Linked DNA regions of Astyanax mexicanus. The protein of the gene in region 2 interacts with the protein of the main gene of each other region in a pairwise test. Links are inferred from orthologs where the notes say so. Each region holds a gene or a part of one and is shown on either strand. Other genes may lie near its edges.

Region 1 (7,935 bases), on a different chromosome or scaffold from region 2:
TTGTCTGTATGTTTTAGGAAATGTTCTGAATTATTTTTGTAAAGGCTGAAAAAAAGCTAAAAAAGTTAGCTTTGACTTAAACTGAACACACTCAAGAATGCTGGTGGGTGTCACATGTTTGGCACCTGGTCTGAAACTACATTTTCAGCAGTTAATGAACATGCTAATGCACAATCTTTGCTCTGTGCTTAGCTAATGATTTAGTTCTTCTATCTCTGTGGGAAGAATATACCAGCGACTGCCTTTCTTTAATTCCACTTCTTTTTCCACTGCTGGTAGACATCCAGCATTTATATATGTACTTATTCTGTCTTTTAGTTAATATTTTTAGTGTGCATAATTACATGCATAAAAAGAAGCGCACAATTTGTATTATATTGCATCATACCACAGTAGTGTGTCAGTTTTAAAGATACCTCTGAGTATGTGTAATGGCCATTCTAGAGGAGCAGGAAGCAGGTGCAGAGAAAAGTCAAAGAGACAAAAGAAGTCAAAATCACAGTCATGAACTCCACTGTGGAGATTCATATCATTAGTAAAGGCAAAGCCTGGAAACAGTCCAAAAAGAAAATGGCTCAGAATGCTAAAGGTATCATGCAACTTAGAATGTGCAAAGAACGAGTTTTCTAGAGATTTTTAAATACTAAGTCATGGAGACTGAGCGCTGTAGCTGGAGGTTAGGAGGTCAGTGGTAAGAAGTGATGCTAGGCTGAATAGAGGGCTGCCTGATTCTATGTACTGAAATACTGTGAAGTCCTGTAACAGAAAATATGAAGAATATGAAAACATATTACAAAACTTACCAGACTTTAATCAGGTAATTTTAAGACACGATAAAATGATTTGGGCCAACAAAATCTATTTATTGAGTGTTTTATTTTTGATGTATTAACAGGTAAACAGTTCCCATTAGTTACATAGCATAGCATCACATTCCTATATTTTTTGCACTGTAACAAAAACAGAGTAATACATCAGCACATTTGTTTACTCAGTTGGTCACATTAAAAAAATGTCCCCTTGCTAAAAAGACATGTAAGCTCTATTCCATGGAGTTAATATAAATAAAATAACTTTGATAGGCCGTTGTTTTGCATGATTTTTATGAATTGTAATGTGAGCTGGCTGCATGAAACACATTTTTTAATAATGTAATAAAATACTGAGAGACAAAAATTCTGTTCTTTGATTACATTATTTTACATACACTGGTTCTGATTCTCTTTACTTGTACATAATTATATAAACTGGATAACTGATACAAATATAATAATATACAGGTGCTGGTCAACGAATTAGAATAATTTGAAATAGTGCAATCATGAAATTCTTTGAATGCATTTTTTTGTGCAGAAAGCAAATCAGGTGTTCACCGCACCTGTCCTACTCCTTAGACTAATCACAGAACTCGTTACCTGGAAAAAAATTTGCTCAGCTGAGCTTTCCAAAAGGCCCATTTAGGCCATTTAACTGTGACACTGTTGTTTTATTGAATTAGAATAATGGAGAAACCGTTTCATTGAATAAGAATAATTTTTATTATAATTACAATCATCACTTTCTCAGTATTTTGTGGCTGCCCCCTTGGCTTGTATGACTGCTTGAAGTCTCCGCGGCATCGATTTGACCAGCTTGTCGCAAGTTTCCGCACTCACAGCTTCCCAGGCAGTGGCGATGTTCTGCTTCAGTTGGTCCAGCGTAGTAGGCTTTCTGTCGCGAATTTTCCGCTTGACGATGGCCCAAAGGTTTTCAATGACATTGAGGTCAGGCGAGTTGGCCGGCCATGCCAAAACTTCAAGCTGTTTTTTAGTGAACCAATCTTTGGTCGACTTTGCCGCATGAGCCGGTGCAAGATCCTGTTGAAATATGAAGTCTTCTTCGCCGAACTGTTCCTCAACAGTCGGAATCAGGAACGTTTCCAGAACATCTTGATATACGGCAGCATTGACAGTCTTCTTGAGGAAGCAGAGTTTCCCTACACCTCGAGCGGACATGCATCCCCAGACCATAACGCTCTGGGGAAACTTGACGGATCTTTTCACGCACTCGTGGTTGTAGGTTTCGCCACCACGACGCCAGACACGAGGACCTTGGTCACCGAAGGAGATGCAGAAGCGTGATTCGTCACTGAAGACCACTTTCTGCCAGTCTTCAGCAGTCCACTCGCCGTGTTCTTTGGCCCACTTCAGCAGTTTCTCCATTTGTTTCTTGTTCAGCATCGGTTTTACTGCTGGAACGCGAGATTTGAAGCCGAGTTCGCGCAGAAGACGGTAAGTGGTTGATCTGGAGACGTCAGCGCCGGTCTGCTTGTTCCACAAGTCGGTGAGCTCGGAAGTGGACTTGAACCGGTTGCTGACTGCAATCTTTCTCAGCTGCTTGTTGTCGTGAGCAGAAGTTTTTCGGACGCCGGAACAGTTGGTGCGCTTGCTGCAGTTTTTCTTGAGAGCTTTGCAGACGGAAGACTGGCTGATGCCGAGCTGCTCAGCAATTTTAGTTTGGGTCAAGCCTTGTTGGCGAAGGGCTTGAATTTGAGCCACTATTCCGGTTGAGAGGTCGCGCTGCTTACCCATGATTGATTTTACAACTTAGAAATTCTACTCAACCCTGACTTTATACTGCACAGTGAACACTCTTCACAGAAAACAAAAATTCGAGCATTTATTCTAATTCAATGAAACGGTTTCTCCATTATTCTAATTCAATAAAACAACAGTGTCACAGTTAAATGGCCTAAATGGGCCTTTTGGAAAGCTCAGCTGAGCAAATTTTTTTCCAGGTAACGAGTTCTGTGATTAGTCTAACGAGTAGGACAGGTGCAGTGAACACCTGATTTGCTTTCTGCACAAAAAATGCATTCAAAGAATTTCATGATTGCACTATTTCAAATTATTCTAATTCGTTGACCAGCACCTGTATTTAACGAATATCACTTTTTTCAGGGTAGTGATGCTGGTCCACCATCATGGATGAGCTGGCCAACCAACATGCTGGTCATACTGGTGGTCTAGCTTGGTCAGGTTGTCCATGCTTGTAGACCACCTAAACCATCAAACTAAAATTAAAACGCTACTATTCTGGTGAAGAACTAAATTTGGTCAACATGAGGTGATCAGGCTATTTTTTTGGCTGGGTAGTATTCAGCTATTAACATTTTCAGATATTTTATAGCCTGTGTTTTTAAGAGCCCAAACCCAGTTCTTAATATTGATTGAAAATCTTAAAGTAATTCTTCAAATTAATATGTTAATATTTTAAGTTAAACTCTTGATGTAACAACAATGGTTAAACATAAGTACAACAATTTCATACCTTCTAGTTTACCATTTTGTTTTATATATAGTAGTTATGTGGATTGTAAAACATTAAATTGAAGATTTTGGGAAAATGCTTAAAACAGAGCTGTTGAGGCTAAAATACACTTTTAAATAGATGAAGTGTGATCTGAAGCATTAACACAGCACATCTACATTCTAGAAATAATAATGTTCAGTGTGTGCTACTTAGGGGCTTCATGAGTTTGAGTTGATATATTTATATATATATATATATATATATATATATATATATATATATATATATATATATATATATATATATATATATATATATATATAAATTTCAAGGTTTCTTCCCATTTTCACCCCAATTAACCCGGCCAGTTATCCAACTCACTCATTAGGACTTCCCCTATCACTAGTGATACACCAACAGGGGCTTCATGAGTTTAAATGAAGGACAGTGCGCTTTAGGGAACTTCACACAGACTTTTAAAAGGTCTGTGGCTATTTTGGGTTGAGTGAAAATTGCATGTACACACCATATACAGTATAATACAGTGGTAAACACACATAACACGTGTACAGATTCTTTACAGCAGCTGATTGTCCAGTAATGAATAATTGCCCGCAAGGTGGCAGCAGAGGCGCGTGAGAACGTGTACTGTACATTTATTTATATTTTTAAAATTACGTCTTTTTAGTTTTACATTATTGTGTTGAATAATTGTATCGATACGTTGTTGTTTGTTGTCCTTCTGTGCGTCAAAGTAATTATTAAATCATAGACTTGAGTGTTGATATTAATTAGAATGAGGTGAAACCTGTTGTTGAATTCTGAGGTCTGACTTTACTAATCGAGTTAATAACGATACAATTGTAGCGTCATACTAGCTGACCTTACCTGTAGCGGTCATGTTTACTAGGTTAGTTAACTCTAAGTAGCTAATGTTTACTTTTATAGAGGAGCATTGTTCACCTGCAGTGAATAATTGTGTTGGTGAACAACAGGTGGTTTCAACACCATGTATTTTATCTTGGTTGTTCTTTTCTCTTTAACCAAACGCGTACACACCATAAAAAACAGGTTCTTTAGTGATAAATCTGCAGATGGTCCACTCCGCTCTGGTCTAGTGTGACCGGGGGCTGTGTCTGCCTGCCTGGGCTCAGCTTCGGCAGCAGTGATGTGTTGTGTCGAGTTGTGCTACCCATCAAAATGTGCTTCTTAATACCAGTGCGCATGCCCACATTTATTTTATAGTTCCATGTGTTTTGTGGTAGTTCTACTAAATTTTACCTGGGTGCATATTTAACATCCTTAACCCCTCCTCTGTCATTATGTCATTATTAGATTTTATCTAAGTGTAAATGGCATTAATAATAATAATAATAATAATAATAATAATAATAATAATAATAATAATAATAATCGAGCAAAAATTACAAGATATAATCTCGCCTATTCCCTTTTAACTGTATTCTGATTTTTGATTCAGGGTTATTAAATAAAGTGCTTTTTCAGGATTTTTTTTACAATTAAATATTAAATACACCATACCTGTCAAGTTTTGGATTGATGTTGTGATCAATAGTATTTTCTGCAGTCAGAAGGCGTATGTATAATATTATACATATGTACATAGTATGTATGAGTATGTATCATCATAGTATGATGTTTTTTTTTAGCAGAAATGCCCTTTCTCTGTTTGCATCCATCCATCCGTCATTAGTGACATTCCAGTTGTGAGAGGCACAGGAATGTTTTTTATTTTAATTATAATGTAATACAAGAAATTTACAGGAAATGCTAATACGGGAGGACGGCGGGAAAGAGGGGTTAAATGTGGTAGACCAAAACGGGATACTTAACAAGATATGAAATACACACGGGATAGCACGGTTTGACAGGGCAGCAGAAATCGACAGAACACCGGACGGAGCTGTTAGGAGCCTTGTTAACTAAACTATACTGTGGGGTGGCGTGTGTTTGTGTGTGAGAGAGAGTGTGCTCTGAGTGAGTCTCTGTCAGTGTGTGTGTGAGTGTGTGTAAGCTGCGGGTGGAGACTGCCATGGTTCACAGGGAGCCCGCCCAGCCTCAGCCTCACTGCTGGCTGCTGGAGTGACCCGCCCGCCTGCCAGCAGCAGCAGCAGCAGAGCAACGTGTCACCGCCTCGGTCCGCTCCGGACCCACAGCCCGAACTCACACACAGCGGCTCCGCGGAGAAGCGCTGCTGCGGAACTGACGCTCCAGAAAAAAGTAGCCACGCGAAGAAAAGCCTGAGCCACCGCTTTTGAGAGGTGAGTGGTGGGTTTCTGAAGTAACAGAGAAGACTACAAATCTGTTAAATATAACGTTAATGGGTTCAACAGTTAGTTTACCTAGTATGGCTTCGTTTGTTTATTGTTATTCTTGGTCGTTCCTACTCAAAATAGTCAATGAAAACAGACCAGAAATAGAAAAGTGGTCCTTTCAGTCTGACAAGCTTGTTTTTATAGAAACTGAAAAACAGAAACAAGCCGCTGTTTATTATATTTTAGCTAAGTTACCTAGCTATGTAACATTATCTATCATGCAGTCTTCTCTTAGCTCTTTATTGAATAACTACAGCTCTGGAAAAAATAAAGAGTCCACTTTAGTTTCTGAATCAGTTCCGCTGATTTTGCTTTTTATAGGTATATGTTTAAGTAAAATGAACATTGTTGTTATATTCTATAAACTACACAACTACAGACAACATTTCTCCCAAATTCCAAATAAGAACATTGTCATTTAGAGCATTTATTTGCAGAAAATGAAAAATGGGTGAAATAAAAAAGATGCAGAGCTTTCAGACCTCAGATAATACAAATGCAAGATAATGCAAAAAACAAGTTCATATTTAAAAAAAAATGTAAGAGTTCAGAAATCAATATTTGGTGGAATAACCCTGATAACAGTTTTCAGGCATCTTGGCATGTTCTCCTCCACCAGTCTTGCACACTGCTTTTGGATAACTTCAGATTGGTTGGTGATCACCCATCTTCCTCTTGATTATATTCCAAAGGTTCTTAATCATGATTAGTGGTCTCCTATTTTTTTCCAGAGCTGTAGTTTTGCTCTGAGGCATCAAACTAAATGTCCAATACAATGAGGCAATTAAGTGGTTCATCATAAGTAATAAAAATATGTATATGTGCTAGACTGTGTCAAGAAGTAACCTGTATGTAGCTGTTTATATTCTTAATATATGCTATATTTGTTTTTAGTCATTGCCTTGTGCAGTTAGACCACTTTTGAATAGAATAACCATGATAAAGCAGTGGTTCTCATTACACTATACTTACATAGTGTAAGTAATATAAGTTAGGGCTCTGTAATATTGTACATTTAATCTCATTATTCTTCAAACATATGAGCGATTATGATTTAGATTTTTAGTTCTTACATATCTTTGGTTTTTTAGTTTGTAAACAAACAGCACCATTTAAAGTGATATACAATGTGGTGTTTTCTTTACATTTATTTTAACCATGTTTGTTATCTTTTTTTTCATTATCATTCATGATAAATAGTAAGCAGCCCCCTATTGAACACAGTGCAAACATAACATGCTTGTATTTCAGTTAAAGAAAAGTGTAACATTTGAAAATCACTGCCACATAAAAGCAAATTTCTATGTGAAGATGTACAGTCTCTATTATCTCATTTTTAAAAATAAGAAACAATAATTCAGTGCATTAAATTGATTTGATTTACCTCCTAGTCCTATTCTAGGTACTATACGTTGTTTTTTCCCAAACTCCAACCTCTGCCACACTGACCTATTTATGTCCACTTGCAGCTCTGCCCCTCAGCAGCCTGCTATGCTTTGCTCATGTGGTTTAGTGGTTAGTGGTCTTTTGGGGTCTGTGTGAAGGATGTGCAGCATAAACACAACAATACTGGAGACAAAGAATTGCCTCAAGTGCTAAATAGTCTTTTCCACTTCGAATATTTTCAGCTGTGCATAAGACAGTTCATGCCTTTCGGCTGCTCCATCTTCACAGTTGGACTAAAAATAATCCAAACATCCTAAAGAGGGCTTCAAGTGCAGTGTGCTTTAAAAATCAAGTGGTCCTATTGGTGGGGGTTAAAATAACTGTTATTACAAAGGAGGTGAGAAGGTGTTATTAGCAATGGGGTCTAATAGTCAAATAGTCAAAGGTCCACATGGTGTTTGAATATAATCGATTTGATTTGACCATTTTCAGTTCTACTAGATTGGACTGGCATAAATGAATATATATGTGTATGTGTGCAATGTAGTTGTACACATTGTACAAATTAGCGAAAACGCATCTAAATATTGTCACATAAGGTGACATGTGAGAGACCCTCTTAAAAATTAAGAGATGTAACCTATTGGTGGTACAGTACTGCATATAGATATTGTATTAAACCCAAACTGACTTGTCTTAAATTTAGGAATGCACACAGCACCTGAAATTATTTGTATGAAAATGGCATATCCAAACACTAAAAATGACTTTCAATGTTTGGATGTATTATCGTGAAAAAACAATCAAAGCAATAATGCTTTCTTTAAAAAAGAAAACAAGACAAAAATACATTAAGGCTATTCAATGTATGCAATGGTAAAATTAATCAATAATGAAAGCCTGCAAAAAACATTTTCTGTAT
Region 2 (8,163 bases):
CCATCCTTCTCTACTCCAGCAGATAAGAGCAGGACAGAGCACTCAGCTAACAGGTACTTTGCACCTGATGGAGGAAGAGCCTTCTCAGGAAAGGTTGGTTACATAACGTGGGTTCTTGTGTAAACGTGGCCTCGCCTAGGAACCTCATCAGCTGAACAAAACAGGCCAAGTCAGCACTGCTGAGGGCCTGGGAACTAGAGCTTCAGTAATAAAAGATGAACTGAAGAATAAACCAATGACAAGATTCAAAAAAGGATTCTATGTTCAAATATTTATACATGTTAAGATGTTTCCGCTCCAGCTAACTAAAAAGTTTGTAGTTAGGGTTTATTTGACTAAACTTCAGTCACAATTATCTACCACAATACTTAAAACAGTGTATCTAAAGACTATCATAGTTTAACATAATTCTAGTCTAGTGAATCTGATCTAAATGCAGCTTAAAAGCAAAATAGATACATTTATGAATGATGTTCAACTTATATAACACCTTTCTAGAGACCCAAGGACGCTTTACAATGAACACGTTTTACACACAAGCACATTTCACATTAATACTCATCCACACACCGGTGAGGAGCGGCAGCCAATAGCGCACAGCGTACTCTCAACCAGAAACGACCATCCACTTGGAGGACAGCATTGGGCACTACAGCCTTTACCCAGGACAGAGTGCCAATCCATATCTGGTCACTGTCATACACATACATTTACATACATACCACACACTTAACACACCAGATCAACTTAGAGTATTCAATTTTCTGGGCAATTTAGAGTATGCAATTTTACCAAATCAATTTAGAGTATAACATTTTTCTGGGCAATTTAGAGTATCTAATTTACCTGTTGGAGGAAAACGGAGTCCCCGGAAGAAACCCACGCAGACACGGGGAGAACATGGAAACTCCACCCAGATAGGGTCTTGAACCCAAGACCCCAGTGCTGGGAGGCGAACGTGCTAACCACTAAGCCACCATGCCGCCAAATTTATTGCTACATTAAGCATTTAAAGATTAAAATTTTCACTTATGCAACAGAAACTGACCAGTATTGTACCCTTGTGTCTCCATTTTTCCCTTTTTATTCCTTGAAATAATTTAAATCTACAATTCATCATGATAATTGGCCAATAGACCTATTCCAAAATGACTTAGATTAAAATCTTGTAAAGCTGTCTTGTAAAAATGTTGAGCACACTGACCATCCAAGTCATGGGATAATAAGTAAGTAAAATGATCATTAAGCGTTACCTCAGGGGATGGCATGAGAAAGCCCACACCTGTAAAAGTTGTGAGGTTTTATCTTGATCATGAGGCTAAACACTGGTCAGCACGCTCAGAGAGTTCAAGCGAGGACTGACAGTGAGTCCCAGATGGATGGGACATTCCATTTCTGAACATTACCAGCATACGTTGACAGTGAAATGGTTGGTAATGATTGTGATGGCAGCATCTGGCTTAAACTGTCCATACAAACAGACAGACTCTTGCAGAAATTCAATGAGCATATCCCACAGATCAGTGCAGAACTGTAATGATGTGTTTTGAACCACTAAAAAAAGTTTGGGTTTTTGAGATTTGGAAGAAGCAATAAGCAAACAAATTACTTGTTTAAAAAATTCTATATTTTGTGAATATTGTTACAAATTACGGAAACTCAGAGCTGCCAAGCCCTAATATATATTTGGCTCAGTATCATGTAATTACGTGAAAAGTTTTATGTTATAACGTGAAATTTACCATGTTATAATGTGATACTTATCACGTTATTTCATGATATGGAATTATCATGTTATTTCATTATGTGGTATTTTCACGTTATAACAAGAAATTATCACGTTATTTCGTGATATGAAATTATCACGTTATTCCGAGATAAGGAACTATCATGTTATTTCATGATATGCAACTTTCACGTTATTCTGAGATATGCAACTATCACGTTATTTCATGTTAAACATTTATCATGTTATATCATGATATTAGGCCATTCAGCACTTCAACACTTACCAGGTTCAGTGAAGGAACATGGCTCGTCTGCATGACTTAATTCAGTTCTATTTCAAGCTTGGTTTAAGGCATGGTGGAATTCTACAGTTGTTGAGCACTGTAGCTGGAGGCGACGTGAAGTGAAATGGAAGCGCGCTGGCTTGGCCGTGTATCAAAGTAAACCATATTGATGTTTTCACGTTATAACGTTAAAATATCATGAAACAACTTGATAAATGTTTATCACAAAATAACATGATCATTTCATAATTCGAAATAACATGATAATTTCTTATCACGAAATAACATGATAATTTCACAATATAACGTAAAAATACCATATCATGAAATAACATAATAGTTTTGTATCACGAAATAACGTGATAGATATCACGTTATAACGTGATAGATATCACGTTATAACGTAATAAATATCACGTTATAATATGAAACCTTTTACGTTATTACATGTTACTGAGTCAAATTATATTTCTATGGCTGGCAGCTCTACGTTGCCGTAACAAATGACCTTATTAGTCTGAAAGTCTTAACTAGCACATAATTTTTCTTATTATTATGTGAAGAACAAGGGTTTTTTATTCTGGATGTACAAAGACTTTAGAAGATTTTAGTGGCACAGGAAGGCAAGTGATGCATGATGATGTGCGAGAAAAGGTAAAATGACTTTCAAATTAACACTGAGCCAGAAACTGGCCATTCATCCATCAGGACCAAGTTCAAATGGCAACAAATAATTTATTCAAAAACAGAAAACGACTATAAGCTGGAGGCAAAGGCTGGTTAGAGGAAAACAGACCATAATGTCATATTTTGTCAGTGTTTTCCAAAATGTAGGCAGAATATAAATGTAATTATATTTAATAGAAAACAATGGTTTATGATTGGATGACAGCAGCCACCAAAAAGACTCTGTATACTCACAGTGTAGATGACTGAAGTTTGGCTGAATGTCTATGGTGGTTATTCCATTGGGTAATGGGCAGTCCAAACTGTGTCATGTAACTCTCAACACTAGTCTCTCTCTCTCTCTCTCTCTCTCTCTCTCTCTCTCTCTCTCTCTCTCTCTCTCTCTCTCTCTCTCTCTCTCTCTCTGTCACATATACTTGTTTTGATATTTTGCTTTGCTATATTTTGAATCTTGATGGCTTGATGCTCTCTCTCTCTCTCTCTCTCTCTCTCTCTCTCTCTCTCTCTCTCTTTCTCTGTCTCTCTCCATTCGCCATCCAAAATAAATATTTAACAGCTCAGCTGCGTAATCAACTACTAAAGGTCATCTCTCTCTCTCTCTCTCTCTCTCTCTCTCTCTTTCTCTCATCCCCCTTTCTCTAACTCACTCCTCCTAATCACATATATAAAACTGAAGCTTTAGTGTGAATATACAGATTTATTTAATCTTAAAACATTCGTAGTTATCAGTAAGTCCGTTTATTTTACAGTAATAACGTTATAAGGGTTTACCAGTAGTTTACTCCAGTCTCCGGGTGTCAGACTACTTTATTAACTTGGATCTGCTTCCCTCTGCTGTTCAACTTCTGTTCCACTGTTTTCATTCTCCAGCGTCTTCATATCAACACCTTCCTAAAATTTTGCCTTTCAGGAAACACATAAAAACATATAGTTTTTATGACAGTTGTTATGGCTATTTAAAAAATATTTATTGAAAAGACACAAAACAGATAACATTTTAAAATGTAAAAAGGAAAAAAAATAGCCACAACAGTAGAGCATTTCTAGACTCATGGCTACATATATTAGCTTTATAATAATAGCTTTATAGCTCTTTCAGACTCTTTCAATAAAAATCAATAGTAAGAAAAATAAATTTTCTGTTCATGCTGGATGTACAAATATGTTTTGAGAGAGGATATTAGTGTCACAGGAAGGCAGGTGATATATATGATGACTGTGTGAAAAAGGTAAGATGACTTTCAGATGAACACTGAGCCAGAAACTGGTCATTCATTCGTCAGGGCCAAGTTCAAATGGCAACACATCATTTATTTGAAAACAAAAAATAACTAAAGTGAAAAAGTCAATAACACTCAATAATAAGCATAAAAACTATGCATTTTTTTATTAACACGAATTTTCAATTATATAAAAAACCTTTCTCTTACCAATTGAGGATGAGCCCTAACCGTGTACAGCCTGGTTAAGTTAATTCATTAGTTTAATTGCTTAAATAAAACAAAATAGTTGAATTATTATTATATATCAGTTTCTATTATTATTACTATTATTATTATAATACGTTATTACTAAATGTGTCCAAGTATACCTGTCCATCCTGAGAATCTGTAATAGAGAGAAAACCTACTTTAGAATCTCTTTCAGGTTTGTTTGTTTGACCACCAGAGGGCGCGAGGGCGCTCCGGAATTAGTCCAAAATGAATGGCTTCATATGGAGGAATTGCGCAAAATCAGTTTATAAATGAGTTTATAAATGTTTGATATTTTTTTTCAATTTCCTCAACACAGAACAATACCACATGTTTCAGCATGGGACAACTACTTTTTAAGCTTTTAAACTTTAGTTATAAACATTTTAAAGGAGTTCTGACTGTAACTCCAGCATTAGCACAACCAGTTAGCTCAGAGCAGCAGTAACTTCTTTACTGCCTAAAATCTGTTTACTGCAAAAATAAATAAATAAATAAATAAATAAAACTGAAATATATAGGTATTTATTCTTTGAGTTTTTATATTCTACTTTATAAATTAAAGGAATAATTTGGCCAAGCAATTAGGTACTATTTTTCATTTGTGTTTTTAGCCTTTTAGCTTCATTCACATTCATTTTTCTCTTTTCTCAACTGAATCTTTCAAACTTTTCAAAACATGGTACTGGTACATGATACTGGTCAATCTCAGGCAGCTTTACTTAATTTATTACAAGTTTTTTTAAGATGAAGATGGTTACATTTTTCTCAGTCCTGTTACCAAAAATCATGTGACATTTAAAAAGGAAGTCCACTAATTACTTTGATTTTCTCTCAAGAAAGTCTTTATTTTAAAGAAATGGTTGACTGCATGTTCAAATAATTGATATTTGAACATCAATTATTTGATGTTCAAATATCAATTATTTGAAGTGAGTTCCAGTAACAGGTCTCCAGTAACAGCACTCAGTCCTGTTACTGGCACTCACTTCTGTTACTTTTTATGTTTTGAGTAACAGGACTGAAAGTAACAGGAATGTGTTTTTAGCATAGACATAGCAAAAACATGAGAAATAGCTAAATGGTGGCTATGCTAATAGCATGAGGACTATGAGGACATTCTAGTGATTTTCCCAAAATGTGTATTTTAAAAATGAACAAATAATAAATAAATGGAAAAAAAAATCTAAAGCATGGATGGGATTTTAATCATTATATTTTTTAGTAAAGTTTATAGTTAGAGAGTGGGGACAGGTAACAAATGCTATTTTTCAGTGTTATTATTATTTTTTTTAATTACGTCTTACTTTTGCAATTAGGTCAATGTACAAGACGCTATTCTTAATAATGAAATTAAATTATTTTGTGTGCACATTTACATGTAATTTTCTAGAGACAAGTAAAACCCATTCATAATTGTGCTTAGAAAAAAACTGTAACGCTTAGTAAAACCAAACAAAATATGCCTCTAAAACATATGTATGTATATGTGAATTGTGTTCTCTTAATACCTAATTTGTCCCAATGTTCTACATTTAGTCAAAAAATAAGATGTTTTGTTCTCTAAACAAACAGAAAGTAAATCAATCTGTAGGCTGTAATATACTATAGGTTGGGAAAGACCGTGACATCATTCTTATTCACAAACCCATCCTGGGCACATCTCATACAGCACGTCAGAACATTTCATAACTTCTCTGATTTCTTCTCTGAATCTGTGATGTATGCATGTCTGATTCTGAACCCGTCAGAGCTTTAGTCACAGTTTCTCTCAAACAGGATTAAACCTGCTGTTACAGACGGGTGACAAACCACTGACACCTAGTGTTAATGTGTGGTAATACTGTAAATTATGACAGTACACAGCTTAAAGTTCATTCAGTGCTTTAGTACATTAAAACATAAATATATACAATACACATATATAATAATTACACATTACGTACAAAAAAACAGACAGAAAAAAACATTTACAAGCTTATTTGAAATATAGTAGTGCAGTGCCTTAGTACGTTTTAACATTCTTTTTTTCCTTTTTTGTAGTGGTTTCTCCTGCAAAGGTTTAAAAGTGCATTAAGCAGAGAACTATAGTTCTGAAATACAGAGTTTTATGTGCAATCATGAACAAACCCTCATATGTCCAATACAGCAACTTTACAGCAGAAACATTAACTTTTCCTAATTTACACTGAAAGTCAATGTAGAAAAAAGTTTTATTGAAACATAATCTGGACTATTTGCTCTGGTCAATATAAAAGACCATTTATGATACATTCAATCTGTCCTCCATTTCCCTCACTCTCAGCTATGTGCAATCATCAGAGTCGATTGGACGCAAGCGATACCGACACAGAGGACATGTTCCAAACTCGCTGAGGACCCTCCAGGCACAGTGAGAGCACACACACCGATGTCCACAGGTCAGCATCACATCCGCAATGTCTGAGTAACACACGACACATTCCTCCATACTTTCATAACCTGAAGATAAAAAGAGAAAAAAACTGTTAACCTAGAATTACTTTATTAAAACTAATGAAAAACTGGTACTGCTCTAGCCATTCTTAGGTCGCTGCTATGATACCCCATACGAAATATTATTAAAAACACGAAGAACTAATAAAACTGACAGAAGAACTTTAAAACCAACAGACTAACATTACTGCATAGATAATCTCCAAGTTCATTGTTCAGTATTTCAGGTGGTTCTTTGGCATTCAAGTCTTTCTAAGTGAATGCTATGATACTATGAAACTATGTTATGACCAGCCATTAAACTTTAAAAGGTCAAAAGTGTAATGAACTGGTTTACCAACAGGATAACTGAAATATGAAAATTTAACACTATTTTCGATCCAAATGTTTAGGCTCTTACCTGTGCTTTTTCTGTTGCTCTGACAGCAGGAAAGATTGTCATTCTTTCGATTCTCTTGCTCTTCTAGGCTGTTCTGGTTCATCATCCTCTCCAGAATCTCAATGGGCACATTGCTGTAGCCACAGGTCTCCTCTGTAGGTTCGACTGTGGGCACAGGGCACGACCGGCGGGTGCTGAAAAAGCATTTCTTCATTGAACCTTAAAAAAAACAGGACCAAGAAAAACTGTCAGTTGCTGAACACTGAAAATGCATGGGAATCTTTAGAATAATTATTTTTTAAAGACACATTTAAAGACTGGTAGCTATGAAGATTTGTCATTTATCGTTTAGCTCAAATGAATTATCATATCATAACATAGGCATTAACAAACTGCATTAACTTATTGACCAAAATGTAACACATTATTATGTGATAAATCCCTAAATCCTTAATTTAATTTAAAACACTTGTAAACTGACCAAGTAACAGGACTGTGTTGGTCTGCCCATAAACGTCAATCATGGCCCAGATCGGCTTGTGTTTGTCCACTCTGGTTTTCATCCTGTGCCTCTGCCCATCGGCTGTCTGGACATGCAGGGATCCACTGGGACCGATCCAGAAAATGACCTCTGATCCTGGCAGGCACTGCTGCTCAGGCACTGGAATGGCCCAGTACCCAGGAAAGTCTGTTAGCTCAGGAATGGCCAGTGAGGGCACGGCTCTGGACCCTGGTGCGACGCTGGTGAAGCCAACCCTGAGAGCGCCGTGCCAGCCCATCACACAGCGCTCAATACGCACGCACACTTTCTCCTGCACCCTCAGCGGTCTGCTGCTGAAGATCAGGCCGTGACGGAAGGACGAGGTGTCTCTGGTTGCACGTCGGCCATCTTCACTGAGGGTCACTAGCTGGCCCTTGGCTTCTGAGTGGAAAGTCATTGGACCCAGGCAGCTGCTTCCACAGCCACAGCTGAGCTGAGAGCCTGAGGGGAAAACACATTAACACCTAGCATTAGCGTCAACATCTAGCATTGGTGTCAACACGTAGAATTAGAATTAAGTCAAGATTTGCATTGGCTATCATTAGAATTACATTAGAACCAATAACCAAAGACATGTTGACTATGTTAATTGAATTA
Region 3 (7,446 bases), on a different chromosome or scaffold from region 2:
ATGTGGGGGGAGAAAGATAGGATTTCAGTGCTTTCTGATTTCAGTGCTTTCATAAATATTCATACATGCAAACATATCACCTCTGATTGGCTTACAGCACTGTGAGGCAGTGAGAAGAACAACAGATAGAAACGTTTTAAAATAAAGAAATTTTTACACTAATAACAGTCTTTGTAATGTCATATGTTACATGCAACATATGTAATGCCCTGTTCAGCCAACAACCTAGTCTTAGTCTCTGTAAAATGTGAAATCCATCGGAGATCCTATGTAACCCTATAGTTACGCACACACAGAGGTGGGTGGTCCAGGTCCAGGAAGTAAAAAAAAAGTTTTGTTTGACTGAGCCGCAGCAGAGCAACCCAGGCAGTTGGATTTGTACTTTTAACTATTGTAAACAGAGCTGTTCTAAACATACACCTACCTCATCTCAATTGTACTTCACTGGTGGTGTTCCACAGACAAATTTTAATCATTTTAATAATTTGTTCATGGGCAAAGCATAAAACACTGATGTGTTATTTGCACAAATAATACAGGAACGAACTGTCATGCTGTTCCTACAACTGTTAGCTCCTATCTGACGAGACGTGTCGCTGCCCGGCTGCCTGCCTGTCATCAGCTCTTCTTGTGGGCGGTCGCATGCCAAGGTGATCGAGGCCATGAATACTAATTCTCGATTTGATGTAGACACAGTGCTTTTCCTGATTGACTCGTTTTTCTGAATATTTTCTTTTACTAGCTACTGCAGACAATAGAGGCTGAGGAAGAGTTTCATATTCAGCATGATTATACAACTCAGAGAAACCTACTGTATTTCACAAAGAACAAGAAAAAGTGAATTTTAGCGGAAGGACACTTTAAACACTGTATACTGCATTTTGAAGCTATCTTTTCTATTAGTGCTTAGCACTGGACATAATAACCTTATTCATGTGTGGCTGCTCCATTGTTTGTTTATCCTAAAGGTCTTTTTAATTCAATAGGCTGTAATAAACCCACTAAATTGAGCAGATTATGCTTCACATATTTTTTTTTTTAATCTTTGAAAAATATTTTTTTTTTTATGACACATGCAATGTATAACTATGAATTGTAAACTATAGTTTTACTGTATCATAGTATTAATGCCTTTTCATGTTGACATTATTTGTACTACACATATTTTTCATATGTTTCATATGTTTCATACTTCAACAGACAGCACACAGTACCTTTCTTCTTGCCAGGCAGGACAGCAGCACTGTATGTTATCTTCTCTTTTTCTGACCATTTCATACCAATGTTATCCACATTCTGCAATGAGACAGACAGTAGATATTATCACTGTCATGTATATGGGCTAAACTATACAAATACATTATTTATCAGGGAAAGTAACATACACTGTGAAGAATGGCTTCTTCTCTCTTTCTTTTCCTTTTTGCCTTTTCTGATTGAGTTCTCTGTGGATGTAAAGGCTTTGAAGAGGAGGAAGGTGGAGACTGAGCTGCTGCAGAGCAGCACCTTTGCCCCCATGTTCTCCGAGCTCTGGTAACACTTCTACTACCTGCCCCCAGGGATCTGCCACAGGTGAGCTTCCACATTGCCTAATAAGCAAAGAAAGAACATAGCTTTGTTAGAAACAATCAAGCTGACAAAAAGTAGAATAAGATACATTCTTTAAAAATGCTTTTGTCATGGTCAATATATATATATATATATATATATATATATATATATATATATATATATATATACACATTCACTTCATGCAATTCAGTGGTGATGAAAGATTCAAAAATGTCTTTAAACCAGACATGGCCAGAGACTGTTATCTTACGGTAAGTATTTCTTTCTATTAAAGTGTAATCCCATATCGTATTGCACACAATAATATCACCAAACATTTTGACACAATAAAAAAACTGCATATCGTGATTTTGTGATACGCTTGTGTATATATCTGGTGTATTTGCAATGTATGCACTTTAAGATGCTGAACATTAGTTCAGAGGTAGATTTTTGTTGTTACATTACTTTATTTTTGATCATTTTTTATTTTTGCTACAGTATTATTATTTTATACAAAATCAGGGTCTTGGTAAGTTACTGTTTAGGAAACATTAGACAAATGTTTATAGTTTTTTTTGTTACTACTGAATGTATAAAAAGCTTATATTTATACTAAATAAAACATTTTAAATATTTATTTTGTTGCAGTAGTATATTATTGAAATGAATTTACAAACAAAATTTAAATTTGTTTTGTCATATAGCTAAGAATAATGTTATCGCAAAAATAAACTTAATAAAATATTGTGATATTATATCGCCCAAATCTAATATGTATGGTTTCTAAAGATATAAAAAGAAGTAAGACCTGTGAATTGCATAATTGTATTTTGAAAATTAAGGCAAACTAGAAATATTTTGACCAGTAGTGATCCAAATAAGTAGAAAGCATAACTACAGTTTATGGACAATAAATACACAAATTAATAAGTACTGTGGGTGAAGAATCTGAAAAGGAATCATTTGGACAATAAATACACACAATAAATACATAATTTGGATAATAAATACACAAATTAAAAAGTGTGGGAGAAATCATGGAAATAAATAATTATCCCACAGTAATTATTTTTATTTGTGTATTTATTTTTCCAAAAACTTAAATAAATAACAACAATAAATACTTGTGCGAATATAAATAATAAAGGCATGTTTTAGATATGATGCTGTGTGTTTTAGAGTGTGTGTATTAGAGTGAATCAGAGGTAAAGACAGAGTTACCTTCAGTCAGTGTGCTGTATGTAGTATCAGGGCGCAGACATGTTGGAAGCTGCTCTGTGTTCCGTAAATTCACTGACAGTAATAAGAGCAGGAAGCTGCATGAGAGAGAATGTAACCGAAACGCAGGAGCGGCCCCGCAGACTCCTAATAATGAATCAGAAAATATAGAATTAGATGTGTTTAGGCTGAGTTCAGTGCGGCAGACTGGAGTGGCTCCCCGGCCGGGTGTTCTATCGAGTTATGCTACCCATCGATTTGTGCTACTTAGCGGCTCTGCGCATGCGCAAAACTCTCATTTATTACTGTTTTCATGTGGGTTTTTTTAGAGGTGGGTAACCCAGGTCCAGAAAGTAAAAATCCAACCAAGAGCTTTGTACCAACTGCCTGGGCGGCTCTGCTGCAGATACAAAACCCTGGGATGGATTTTACTTTCTGGACCTGGGTTACTCACCTGTAGTATTTTCCTGATACAGTAGGTTTTTTCCCGGATGTATTGTAAATTTTTGACTCACAGTCATCGTTTGCTTGAGTGTTACAACCGTGTAAAAAAGTAATAAAAATATAATTTTACAGTTAAACATACACTAGGGCAGCACGGATTGACAGGGGAGCAGAACTCGACGGAACACCGGCGGATATATTATAGTGAGCACAGGGAGGGAAGGGTCGGTCCGTCTGTGAATTGTTTCCTCCGGCCTGTGCTGAGCTCCGGGAGCAGCGTCGCCCCACAGCCGCGCCTCTGCCCGCCGCTCCAGGTCTCTGTGTCTGCTGTTTTTTTCTATGTGTGTTTAGACTCTAAACACAGCTCGGCCAGTACACAGCGTGTGGGAGGTCGGTGTGTTTTACAGGAGGAGCTAAGCTAGCTTCGTGAGCCACCGTAAGCATGGCGGAGGTCCCTGGTCCGTCCAGCGAGACGATAACGGAGACGGTGCCGACGGCCGCGCCTCCTCCGCCGCCTCAGCAGGTAATCATCACCGCTCTCGTATCCAGCACGTTTATACACTGCGGCTCAGGGGCTTTGGGCAACACCAGACTGTGTCCTGGTCCTTTAACTATAGATAGCCTAACTTCATAATTTCAAACTGGGGTGGGTACCGGAGATTAAAGGAGCAGTCCAGCGTGTTTTAAAATTGCATTTTGAAAATATTGTGCTGTTTAGCAATACTGATGTTTTAATTGATTGAGTTTTCCAAAAGTAAACAGCTTGTGCAGGAGTTGACTCGCTTTTATGGGGCACAGAATGATACAGCAAAAATGCTCATAGAGATAACAGCTAATATAGGTTAGGTTAGCTAGCTTAACGCACTGCAAAGTCTCCAGTATCTGTGTTGTTATGATAGCTGAGGTAACTAGCTAGCTAGCTAATCTAGCTAGCTAACTAATCTAATTGCAAGACCCCATAAAGAAAACACTTGCTGCTTGTCTGTGGTTTTATAATATGTAAAGTTATATGTTAGCTCGCTTCATAAGACTGTTTCACTAATCCACACTCATTTCAATGCTGTGATTAATAACTACCTAGTGTAATTCTGTGATATGTGGTATGTTTAGCTAGTTTTCACATTTTTAAAGTGAGCTGCTATACATTTGTCTTTGTTTTAAAATAAAATTAAAAACTTTCTATCCTAACCTTACACTAAACATTGAGATGATGTGACCGCAACTCACCTCTAGGAAGACTCTGCGACAGTGAAATCGCTTGAAAATCATTAGATTTAAGATCAGCATAACTAGATAGCTAAAGATGTTCCTGCAGACATGATCCACTGGATTGGCCTAGGTAGTTCAGCTAGTTAACTAACCTAGATGGCTTAATAAGCCTGAAACATTGTCTCTGTTTGCTGTTCTTAACATAAGCCCTTAATTTGAGGAGGCTAGGACCCCAACCTATATATTAGTCGTGATAGCACATGTGATAGCACAAGGTACATGTGAGCTTTGATTCCTCCCAAAGTTTCTTTCTCCTCCAGCTCTGAGGGAGTTTTTGTTGCCTATGTTGCTCACTGAGGTTTTGTGTTGTGTGTTCAATGTTTTGTCTAATCTTGCATGGTTGTTCCAGACAGGAATAAAATCACAGAGGACCCCCATATAAGAGAAAATTACCTCAGGACCACCTGAGAAACTAATCCCGGCTTTAGTCTCATAGCTCCAGTGCAAAATATAAGAAGCAGATTTTAGACACAAAGTGTCTTAATCTCATGGGGTAATAAAGTAAACCCCACACTAGACACAACAGTCAGATTCATCCCAAACTCTCCTCACTCTAGTCTAGTGTGCCTACATCTCAATTCTCTTAATCCTGTCTGCTTTTATTGATTTATTCTGATCTCTATTTCATGGCCTCACTAAATATAGTGGCAGTGCCGACTAGATTATAGATCCCCATGACTGCTAGGTCAGGCAGAATCGTGGAGAGGATGTTTTATTAAGGTAGTAAGGTATTCAGACACTGCTGGTTGTCAGCAGTTTGCTTCAGTAGCCTGACTTGCCTTACTGACCCAGCCTTTCTAAAGTACAAAATAAAGCCATGTTTATATACAAGCAGATACCAGTACACAAAATAACTTGCACAAATCTGTTTCATTCCAGCATTTACTTATTAAAATGTTTCATTAGTGTCTTGCAGGCAGGACTACTGCTCTGCATAAAATCTGTGGAGACAACAAGCTATAAATAAATGCATTTAAAATATATATTAACCTACACAAAAATCACTCATGGTTTTTGAGGCTTATTTTCATAAGGCCTTTAAGAATGATGTGGCAGTAGAGGACATTCGCTCAGCTACGTTTTGGAGTGTTCTCCTTCATTGTTCCCCACCTGTGTGTCCTACCTTTTTATAATTTTTAAATATTTTTTCTCTGATCAGGACATTAGTTTTTTGTGTTTCTTATTTGCGGTCAGCCTGTATCAGCACTACCATAATTTGTCACTTTGTGAAGAAATCCTCCCACACCTGGTCTGTTTACGTGGGTGGTTCTTCTTCTTTGCTAATGCAGTCAATGCCTTCAGTAGACAGCTGGGTTTTGCTGTATCTGCTTTTTGATTTATGGTTTGGCTCTATTGAGCCGTCCGCACTAGAATTAGAATCATTTTTATTTTGTAGATCACAAAAAAAGGTACTTTTTTTTGAAGTTCAGATGTGCATGACTGATAACATTTTAAGCAAACAAACCCTGTTTTCCTAAGATCATCTTAAATAGCACAGTGTGATGCTTACTTTCTGTTTCAGCGAAATAAAGTTGTTTTCAAAGGTAGGGAAGTACAATAAAACAGAATTAAAAATATGCTTAAAGCCACATTTTAAACAAACTGTAATGAATATTAGGGGTTTCAGAATTTGATTTGATATTGTGGTAGGACTGGACTGTATGGATAATATTAGGGATGCACAGATGTGGGTAATTCTGGGTCGATGGCGATATACGCACTTATAACTTACAGAGACTAGACACTCTGGTATACCTTTTTATTTCTTTTTTTTTTCTTTTTTTTTTTTAAGTTTAGATAGATTTTATGTATTTTTAAGTAGCTTGGCCAGTGTTTGTCAGTTGTAGTAGTGCAGCCAGCATCGCTTGGTCCATTTCTGTAATACAATAAATATGTCAGCAAGTATAGGTTTGAAATATTGGGCACACACATATATATATATATATATATATATATATATATATATATATATATAAAATATATATATATTTTATTTGCACTGTGCATTCCTAGTTAAAATACATCACAATATTTAAATGATTTTTCAAAAGATACAATTTATTTTCTCTAATTTTAAATTTATTATATGAGTTTTTGGCTGCAGCCGTTGCTTTGCATATGCAAGCACACAGCTGGGCTTGATCTCTATGTGCCTTGGGCGTTTCAGTCAGTTGCTGGAATTAGAAGCTGGGTGATGAAGTCTTGAGGTCACATCCTAATTTCAGTTTTTTTGGCTCTACTCATTTTTAGTTACAAAATCCTCACTTTGTCATCTTTATAACTGAAGTTTTTAGATCCACTTTTTTATCAGAGATTTCTCAGATATGAAATGTTAAATTGTTTTCACCTCCACACAAACGATTATTACAGATTTAGAGAAGCTAGGGAGAGTGTGACCATCCACCTATATCAACAGTTGATATGACTTGTTGGATCAGATAATGCTTAAGGCCCGCTGCGTTGCACATTTTGGTGCTTTTCCAGGTCAGATGGACCCACAGGACTAGGGTTGAGAAATGCAGGCTTAGAGGAGAAATAGAACAATCTGCAGGAAAGGGGTATGCAGAAAAAAAAATTTCTTCACTTGCATAGCATGATGCTAAACTTATTTAGCTTTAATTTTAGGTACACATAGTGGATATAACTATTATAATGTTAGAACATTAAAATCTGGTGACTTTAGATTTCTTTCTGCGTTATTAATGTCTCAGGATATATAGCAGAAAAAGACATTCTTTCAGTGTTTTCCAATAACGTGCAGTGCTAGTCTATGTATGAATTTCTTCATGGATTGTCTGTGTTACACAGGAGGGAAGAAGTTTGACCATCAAGCTTCGAAAAAGGAAGACTGAGAAAAAGGTGGAGTGGTCCAGTGACACGGTGGACAACGAGCACTTGGGAAGGAGGTCCTCAAAGTGTGAGTATAGTTTCACTTTCAGGTTTTATATCTTCAGTGTAACG
Region 4 (8,174 bases), about 19 Mb from region 2:
AGGGTACAATTATGAAGAGAGTACCTTTGAGTACAAAAAAGTACTCATATCGTACCTCTGTTTTTTTTTTTTTTTTAGAGTGAATGTAACCCTATAATCTGTCCATACAGCATTTTCTAGTGGATGAATTAATGCTCTTGACACTGAATGCAATCAAATCCTTACAGCAATCCTCTAAAATCTATTAAAAAGCCTTTTTTCCTGGGTAGTAGGGACAGTTATTCCAGCAAAAGAAGATTATATTTTATGTAAAAACGTTAAAAACTTGAGCCCTGTGTTTTAAAATGTAACTTATTAGCCTTTTAGCAGTGAATCCGTATCACTTAGTTTTTATTTTTCTTTGATTGGATGAAAACATTGAAGCATTGCTCAGAGGCTGTTCTGTTCCCGGACAGATATTTTGGCCATAATATGATATGCTTGTTTTTTTTTTTGCAAAGGAATGAATCTAAGTTTGGTTTGAAGGCAGATTTCCTAGCAACGACACTGTTTGTTTATTTGTGCTGAATAAAAATAGTGAAAACTATTATTTCAGGTAATTTTGGAGAATGCCTATTGGTCCATTTATCAAGAAACACAGTGACACAGTGTAAAGTGGTAGAGAAAAATGCTGATACTTTTTATTATTATTATTATTATTATTATTAGACAGCAACAACATATATGTGTTTTAGTTTGTTCTATGTGTTTATTGTATCATTTTTGGAACAAAAAGCTCCAAAACTAGCTTTTTACATATATGAATAAAGATATTATGCCCATTAAAAAGTTTGGCCACCCCTTATAATATTTTTAATGCTTGTTATGAAGAAAACAGCCATAAAAAGTTTTAACAAAATATTAAACTGGTATTAAAATGGTAATATAGTGGTTATTGTACCGTTCTAACATAAAAAAAAAATAATAATTTTACATTTGAGGAAAGACCCAGCACCCAAATAATACATATACAGTATATACAGCTCTGGAATAATAATAATAATAATAAAATAAGAGAGCCCTTTAAAATGATGAGTTTCTTTGATTTTACCAAAACTAAAACCTCTGGAATATAATAATCAAGAGGAAGATGGATGATCACAAGCCATCAAACCACCAAACTGAACTGCTTGAATGTTTTTGTGCACCAGGAGTAAAGCAGCATAAAGTTATCCAAAAGCAGTGTGTAAGACTGGTGGAGGAGAACATGATGCTAAGATGCATGAAAAAGAACTATTTGAGGTCTTTTTTTCAGCCATTTCTCATTTTCTGCTCATAAATAAACGCTCTAAATGATAATATTATAATATTTTTAATCGGAAATTTGGGAGAAATGTCTGTAGTTTAGCATTTTTTAATAAAACATATACTTATAATTTAGAAACAGATGCTTTCGCTTTCACGTGTCACTCAAAGCACATCCTGTACTCATTCTGTCTCTCACTCTCTGTTGTTTTGGTAACATTTCCAGCGAAATTCCATAGAAATATGAACTGTCATCATTTCCATAATTCCCATCCATCATTCCTACTCATCCATTCATCAGCTGTTCTCAGTGTTTACTGTTTTTCGTCGTTATTTCTCTGTCCGGGGAGGCTGTTTTTCAGGCCTTCCTGTTCAGGCTTGCTGACAAAAGCGGTAAAAGTTGAGTTTTTGATCCCCCCCTTCCTCCAGGAATGTGTGACACACACACACACACACACACACAGACACATAGAAACACACACACACACACAAAGGCATGCGCACGTTCTGAGCCGAAATGAAAGAGCACAAACACAAACACCATGGGGGAATTAGCAGGAAAAGAGAGAAACATTCCAGGCATGCTTGAGCCTCGTGAAGGACACACACACGGCCTTGTGCCCCTACCTTCCTCCAGGCTCACACACACACACACACACACACACACACACACACACACACACACACACACACACACACACACACACAGATAGACACACCACCCCCAGGCCTGAGCACATGCATCCATTGAGAGATAATCTGGGAGGGGGGGCTCATTAACAGCCGAGGAATCAGAATGCAGAACAGAATGCGCTCTACAGTAGAGGTGGGCGATACCGGGAATTTTAGTATCGATCCGATACCAAGGTAATACAGGGCCAGTATTGCCGATATCGATACCGATACCAATACTAATACTTTTTCATATTTAAGCATTAAAGATCAAAAGGATTCAAAAGACCTAGGACTAAGAATAAAATTTCAGAATAAAAGTCACAGTCACACGCTCTCCTACTGTCAGTAACAGTAACAGTACTGCCTCATCCCTCTGCACTCTTCCCATCAGCGAGGAAGGGGAGAGCTGCATCAGCTTATCAGAGAGAGAGAGAGAGACTGAGAGAGAGAGAGAGAGACTGAGAGAGAGAGAGAGAGAGAGACTGAGAGAGAGAGAGAGTGGCGGATAACAGTAAATGCATTGTGTAAGAGCTGTTCCTGTGAAGAGTGCTTTAGAATAACAATCGTACAGCTAAAGCCCTCTGGGTCAACGCTCTCTCTCTCTCTCTCTCTCTCTCTCTCTCTCTCTCTTTTCTCTCTCTAACAGTCATTAGCTTTATTTCTAGGAAATCCTGCTTCCTGATGTTCCACTACAGTTCACCGGACATGTTTCCCCAACAGCTCTTCACCCTCTGAACGGAATGTTTTTTTCTTCTCTAGTTCTTGCTAATATTGATTTTTATCATGATTTTTTTCAGCACTTATACTTAAACTTAGAGCGTTTTTCTACCGATGTGGAATCTGCACCGTTCTGCACCGAATTCAGCACCCCCGCCAGGAAAAGCACCCTTTCTCGGAGCGTATTTTTAAGTAAAGTTAAAGCGCTTTCATCAAGAAGAGAGGGTGCTTTTCATGGCGGGGGGGCAGATTTCAACACTACTATTCACTACTACTAAAGGGAATGACAACAGGCACACTGATTGGTTTAATTTTTGATAATGATTAATTAAGAGAATTAGTTTATGCCTTTTGCGCATTTTGAGCTGCGCAAGACGTATTTTTGGCACCATCACGATACCAAAGACACCAATGACACACCCTTAATCCAGCTGCGTGATCCGCAATCGATTGGTGCGCCATAGATCGCTAAAATAGGGCCCTTGGCCTTCCTTTCCTGGGGCATTCCTGATGAGTGCCAGTTTCTCCATTCACTTGGGCTTGTTACTCTTCTTAGTTCTTTTGCTGAACATTTTAAAGACATTTTAATTTGCAAACACCTAAACGCTCCGTATCACATGATAAGCATAAGGATACCTAATAAATCTGCCTTGCTTTAAGTCAGCAGATAATTACTCCATTCTTACTGAGATTCTTACTGAGTTACAGCACAGAGAACACAAGCTGGAAAAAAAGGAAAGAGCCTGACCTGCAGGAACAACAGTCTAGTACATCTTTCACACAGGTTTTCTCCAAAGCCTGTGCTGCCATCTAGTGCCTGAATCACTGTTCTACAGAAAAATCTGTTTCTGATCAAAGATTTTCCTTCTGAAAATGATGGTTCGGTTTCTTAGACAGGGATTAAGCCTAGTGTTGGACTGCATAACATTTTAAATACATATTTTTCATTAGAAGGAAAAATATTTATAATATTTAGTTTAGTTAAAAGATAGTGTCATAACACAGATATTTATTACAGAGATATTGACTAAAATTAATTCATGGTTTTTTGAAGATTTAAATTCCATAAAATTCAAAAAAGTATTCAGGCCCCTTTACCCTGAATTCTACCGTCAGAAGTCACTGAATTATTTTTTTATTATATTTGAGTCCAGCTGTCTGTAATTTAGTCTCAGTATAAATATAAACACCTGGGGCCTCATGCACTAAAGGTGCGTATGCACAAAAACATAGCGTACGCCATATTTGTACGCAAGTTTTTTTGTACGTATGTTTCTAATGTGTTTTTGTCATTTGGCGACACTTAGAGGCGATGCATTGAAATTACAACTATTAAGATATCCTTTACACACATTGTAGTAAGCTATTATTAGGTAAAATAAAGTCAATTAATGAGACAGTTTCAACGTTCAACGTGTTTCCACTTAGCCTTGATTATATAAACATGAATAAAATGTTGAGCTGGAGTTGTTGGAGATGGCAGCGTTGGCATTATTGGAAGGTATTGAATTGGAAGGGGTATGAATACTTTTGCAAGCCACTGTATATATAATTAGATCATAATGTTTGAATGATACAGAAAAAAAGGATCTCAGCCACAGGGGGGCAGTAGAACTGCTTTTTATTTGGCTAAACGTTTGATTTCATGATTCTTTATTGATTATTGTGATGTAAACTGCATCTACAGAACAGCTGATCTCCAGATTTACTTTCAGAAGGATATGTGTGAATATCTGTGAACAGTTGGATACAGTGCATGTTGTGCAAATGCTGTAGATAGTACTAATTAAAATATATTTAAATATGATCAAAACTTGAGTTACACCACCCTTGTAAAAAAGTTGTATATTTAAATATAACGAATATAGCGAACCACAATAATGTGTGAAATAATGAAAACAAGTTCATACTCATTTAGTAACAACGATACTAAAGGTTTATCTAAGGAAAAGAATCAATAATTTGGTGGAATAACCCAGATTATTATTTCTCAAAATTCTGACCATCTATCCTTCTCTTGATTACATTCCATAGTTTTTTTTAATTGTATTTATATTTGTAATTTGGGAGAAATGTCATTAGTCATTTTTTTATAGAATAAAACAACAAGGTTAATTTTACTCAAACATAAACCTATAAACAGCAAAATCAGAGAAACTAATAATTATAAAATGGTGGTCTCTTATTTTTTCCAGAGCTGTATCTCAGTAGCACTTAAGTAAAGCATGAAAATAATACTCCAGTAGATACAGATACAGTATTTTATTACTTAAGTACAGTAACTTCTCCTTTAGACAGTGTTTTACGTGCTAACTTGCTTACCTGGCTGTTTACACCTGTTCAGCTCTAGTGCTAGAGCAGATCCACACATGCCCCGCCTCCTATTCTAATCCCGCTCCTTCCATTGGCTGGTCTCTCTGCACCTGTTTGCCACTTCATCCAATCACGCTGGGGAAGCACCGTCCCAAGATGGCGGCGTCCATCGCGAAGTATCATTCTCTTACTTTCTGCTGGTAAATATAGAGATTTAAAGCGCTGTGGAGCGCGGTAAACCGCGGTAAAGCGCTGCGAGAGGCTGTAACAGGCCGCGGGGGAGCGGGGGGAGCCCGGCCGCGGTGTTTATCCGCCGGGGGCTGATGTATTTCTCCGGCTGAGGGTTCAGAGCTCAGCCCGGGTCTCCGGCCATGGCCACCGAAAACAAACTCCAGTTCTGGAGGAGGAACGCTAAGGGTCCCGGCAGGTGAGCGGAGCGGGTTCTTCTGGTGTTCTTTGGGGGTTTATACGGGTTTATTTTTCTTGTTTAAGTCGTTTAGCACCTGTAGCACCTGGGTATTTCAGCTCTGCTTAGAGTTACTGAGCTGCTACTGAACTCAGAGCAGTGCTTATCTCTCTTATCTGTCTGCTGGTTAACTAACCTAACGTACAACTAACCTAATCTAACCTGACCTCAGTTCAGTCTGAAGCTCTGAGTATATCTACAGTAAATCTATATATATTTAAAGATTCATTTTTTAGATTTTACCAAATTGAAAACCTCTGGAATATAATAATCAAGAGGAAGATGAATGATCACAAGCTATCAAACCACCAAACTGAACTGCTTGAATTAATTTTTGCACCAGGAGTAAAGCAGCATAAAGTTATCCAAAAGCAGTGTGTAAGACTGGTGGAGGAGAAGAACATGATGCCAAGATGCATAAAAAAAACTGTGATTAAAAACCACAAGGGTTATTCCACCAAATATTGATTATTTCTGAACTCTTAAAACTTTATGAATATGAACTTGTTGTTTTCTTTGCCTTATTATTTAAAGTCTAAAAGCTCTGCATCTTTTTTTTTGTTATTTCAGCCATTTATCATTTTCTGCAAATAAATGCTCTGAATGACAGTGTTTTTAGTTGGAATTTGTGAGAAATGTTGTTTGTAGTTTATAGAATAAAACAACAATGTTCGTTTTACTGTGGAGAAGTTGCAGGTCGAGCTGGGCAACATATCGATATATGTATATATTTTTTTTGTATTGTGATCCTGTTAAGTACGGATTTACTTACGGAAACCTTTAAGGTGAAATCATGAAAAAAAAAATAATAAAAATGTATGGCCATGACTTCTTATTAGGCTAAACTACACAAGAATCTTATTTAAAACCACTGTTTACAACCCATGCGTAGGGAATTTCCTGGAGTCGCAATTTTAAATTTAAGTCACAATAAGTCAACCGTTGAGCACAAACGAATAATAAAACATTTTGACCAATGTTTATGTAATTTGTTGTTGGTTCCGTGCATTCTAAGATCAACAGTAACCAGATTTAACCAGTTTTTCAGCAACAGCTGGAATTCATGCATTTCCAATGAATTTTGGGATCATTTATATATTATAGGGTTTATTCTAACTAAAATAATGTCCCTAAATAAAATATTTTATTTGAGTTTTATACAGTTTTTTTTTTAAGCTGACATTATATTACTGTGTATGATACAACATGGTACACTCCTATTATTAGTAGTTTTAATATTAAAGCCAACTTTCTCAGACACATACATCAAAAATACTGGCTTTAGAATCTATTTAGTCTGGAAAATCTTCTTGTTTCTATATATTCAAGGTGTTCATATCAGAGTGTCATACTATCAGAGTTACACTGCCGTTTCTGATAAGAGTCAGTCAGAGTGAGTTGGGACTTTGTGAAAAGTTTGCAGGATGTTTTATATTAATGTAAGAACTGATTTTAGTTGTTCCCGTCACTCGGAGGAACGATTGAGTTGATGTAGTTCCGCTGGAGGTGGTGATCGCAGTGACTTGCAGTCAGAAAGTGTGATCTGATGGAAGATTAAACTCTGTGGGTTTTTCTATTGTCTGACTCAGCTTTTCTTAAAGGGGAAGTTCTAACTGCCACACTGATCTACTGACACTTGAGCAGTCAGATGCTTCCTGTGATGGAAGATTTAATAATTCTACATTTTCTGCAGTTTTTAAAGCTATGTTCAATTTTTTTTAGTCATTCTGCCTTTAAATGGCTTCATACTATTTACTACAGGTGCACCAAGGCCTGTGTTGACTTATATAGACATAATATATGGATATGATTTCAGTGTAAATCAGACTGTAGTCTGTGTTTAGAGTGTTAAAACAAGTTACGTGGTAAGAACTGCTAGCTAATACCGCCCTGGTTTACCAAAACACTCAGGGTCCCTCAGTGTAGCGCTACCGGCCGGCGTTTACTAGGCTAATGCTAATGCTAGTGCTCCAGCCTTAGCGCTTTATTCACCCTATATAAACAGTTTTTAGGAGAAAAATCTGTGTAGATTAACATCCAGCGCTCGTTTAATGTGTTTTTTTTTTTTTTAAGAATTACACTTTTGTTTACTTAGTTTAGCTAGTTTACTTAACTTAGTTAACCTACATCCCCACCACTACCACCACCACCACCACCCCTGTTCCTTCCTAGTGTCACATAATGCGCTTTATTTTCTGGTGCGCCTTATGTATTAAAACGGACCAGAAAAAAAAGACGTTAATTGATAGGGAGCCTTATAGTACGAAAAATACAGTATTGTTATTTATTATTTATTTATTTATTTATTTTTATTTTTTTCTTAGTGAGGAGAGCTCATAAGTGTATTATGAGTTGATGATAACTTTGTTCAACAAGGGCATTGTTACATTATTGATGTTTTAGTTATTAAGAATATTTAAACATAATTTAAATATTAAAATCTCAATGACTGAATATATTTTTAATATGTAAAAAAAAAATTCTTGCTCTTTAAAAAGGTGCAACTGCATTCCTATGCTCTTGTTTTTATTTAATCAGTGGAATGAAATGTAAGTGTAAATGTAAATGGCCTTAAAATGACAGTAATGTTGTTTATCGGAATATTTTCTGGAACAATATATCATTATAAAATTTCTGTAACAGGCATATGTGACATAATGAGACAAATGCCAGATAAATGATATTTAAAGCAAAAAAAAGTGTGTTAACAGCCTACAGCACATGTTTTGGTTAACGCGCCCTGTGTGAATGAAGGTATGGTGTGTGTAACTCAGGTGTT

Evidence for each region.
Region 1: the proteins of sorbs3 (region 2) and cpne2 interact in binary tests that used the Homo sapiens proteins (3 or more experiments, as listed by UniProt). The two-hybrid records come from large-scale screens. The link is inferred for Astyanax mexicanus from reciprocal best matches to the Homo sapiens genes SORBS3 and CPNE2.
Region 3: the proteins of sorbs3 (region 2) and vars2 interact in binary tests that used the Homo sapiens proteins (3 or more experiments, as listed by UniProt). The two-hybrid records come from large-scale screens. The link is inferred for Astyanax mexicanus from reciprocal best matches to the Homo sapiens genes SORBS3 and VARS2.
Region 4: the proteins of sorbs3 (region 2) and tbc1d22b interact in binary tests that used the Homo sapiens proteins (3 or more experiments, as listed by UniProt). The link is inferred for Astyanax mexicanus from reciprocal best matches to the Homo sapiens genes SORBS3 and TBC1D22B.

Annotation. Positions count from the first base shown.
Region 1 is NC_064416.1:22,613,855-22,621,789, forward strand, and holds the start of cpne2 (copine-2), read left to right. Parts: upstream 1-4,829; 5' UTR 4,830-5,573; intron 5,574-7,935.
Region 2 is NC_064419.1:21,984,163-21,992,325, reverse strand, and holds the start of sorbs3 (vinexin), read right to left. Parts: upstream 3,051-8,163; 5' UTR 2,934-3,050; intron 1-2,933. Other genes in the region: protein neuralized, read right to left, coding at 6,477-6,652, 7,047-7,244, 7,507-8,007. UniProt on the Homo sapiens protein: Vinexin alpha isoform promotes up-regulation of actin stress fiber formation. Vinexin beta isoform plays a role in cell spreading and enhances the activation of JNK/SAPK in response to EGF stimulation by using its third SH3 domain.
Region 3 is NC_064410.1:37,645,833-37,653,278, forward strand, and holds the start of vars2 (valine--tRNA ligase, mitochondrial), read right to left. Parts: upstream 3,107-7,446; 5' UTR 2,776-3,106; intron 1,590-2,775; 5' UTR 1,587-1,589; coding exon 1,386-1,586; intron 1,297-1,385; coding exon 1,215-1,296; intron 1-1,214. Other genes in the region: E3 ubiquitin-protein ligase PPP1R11, read left to right, coding at 3,659-3,739, 7,294-7,402. UniProt on the Homo sapiens protein: Catalyzes the attachment of valine to tRNA(Val) in a two-step reaction: valine is first activated by ATP to form Val-AMP and then transferred to the acceptor end of tRNA(Val).
Region 4 is NC_064419.1:2,537,692-2,545,865, reverse strand, and holds the start of tbc1d22b (TBC1 domain family member 22B), read left to right. Parts: upstream 1-5,068; 5' UTR 5,069-5,300; coding exon 5,301-5,356; intron 5,357-8,174. UniProt on the Homo sapiens protein: May act as a GTPase-activating protein for Rab family protein(s).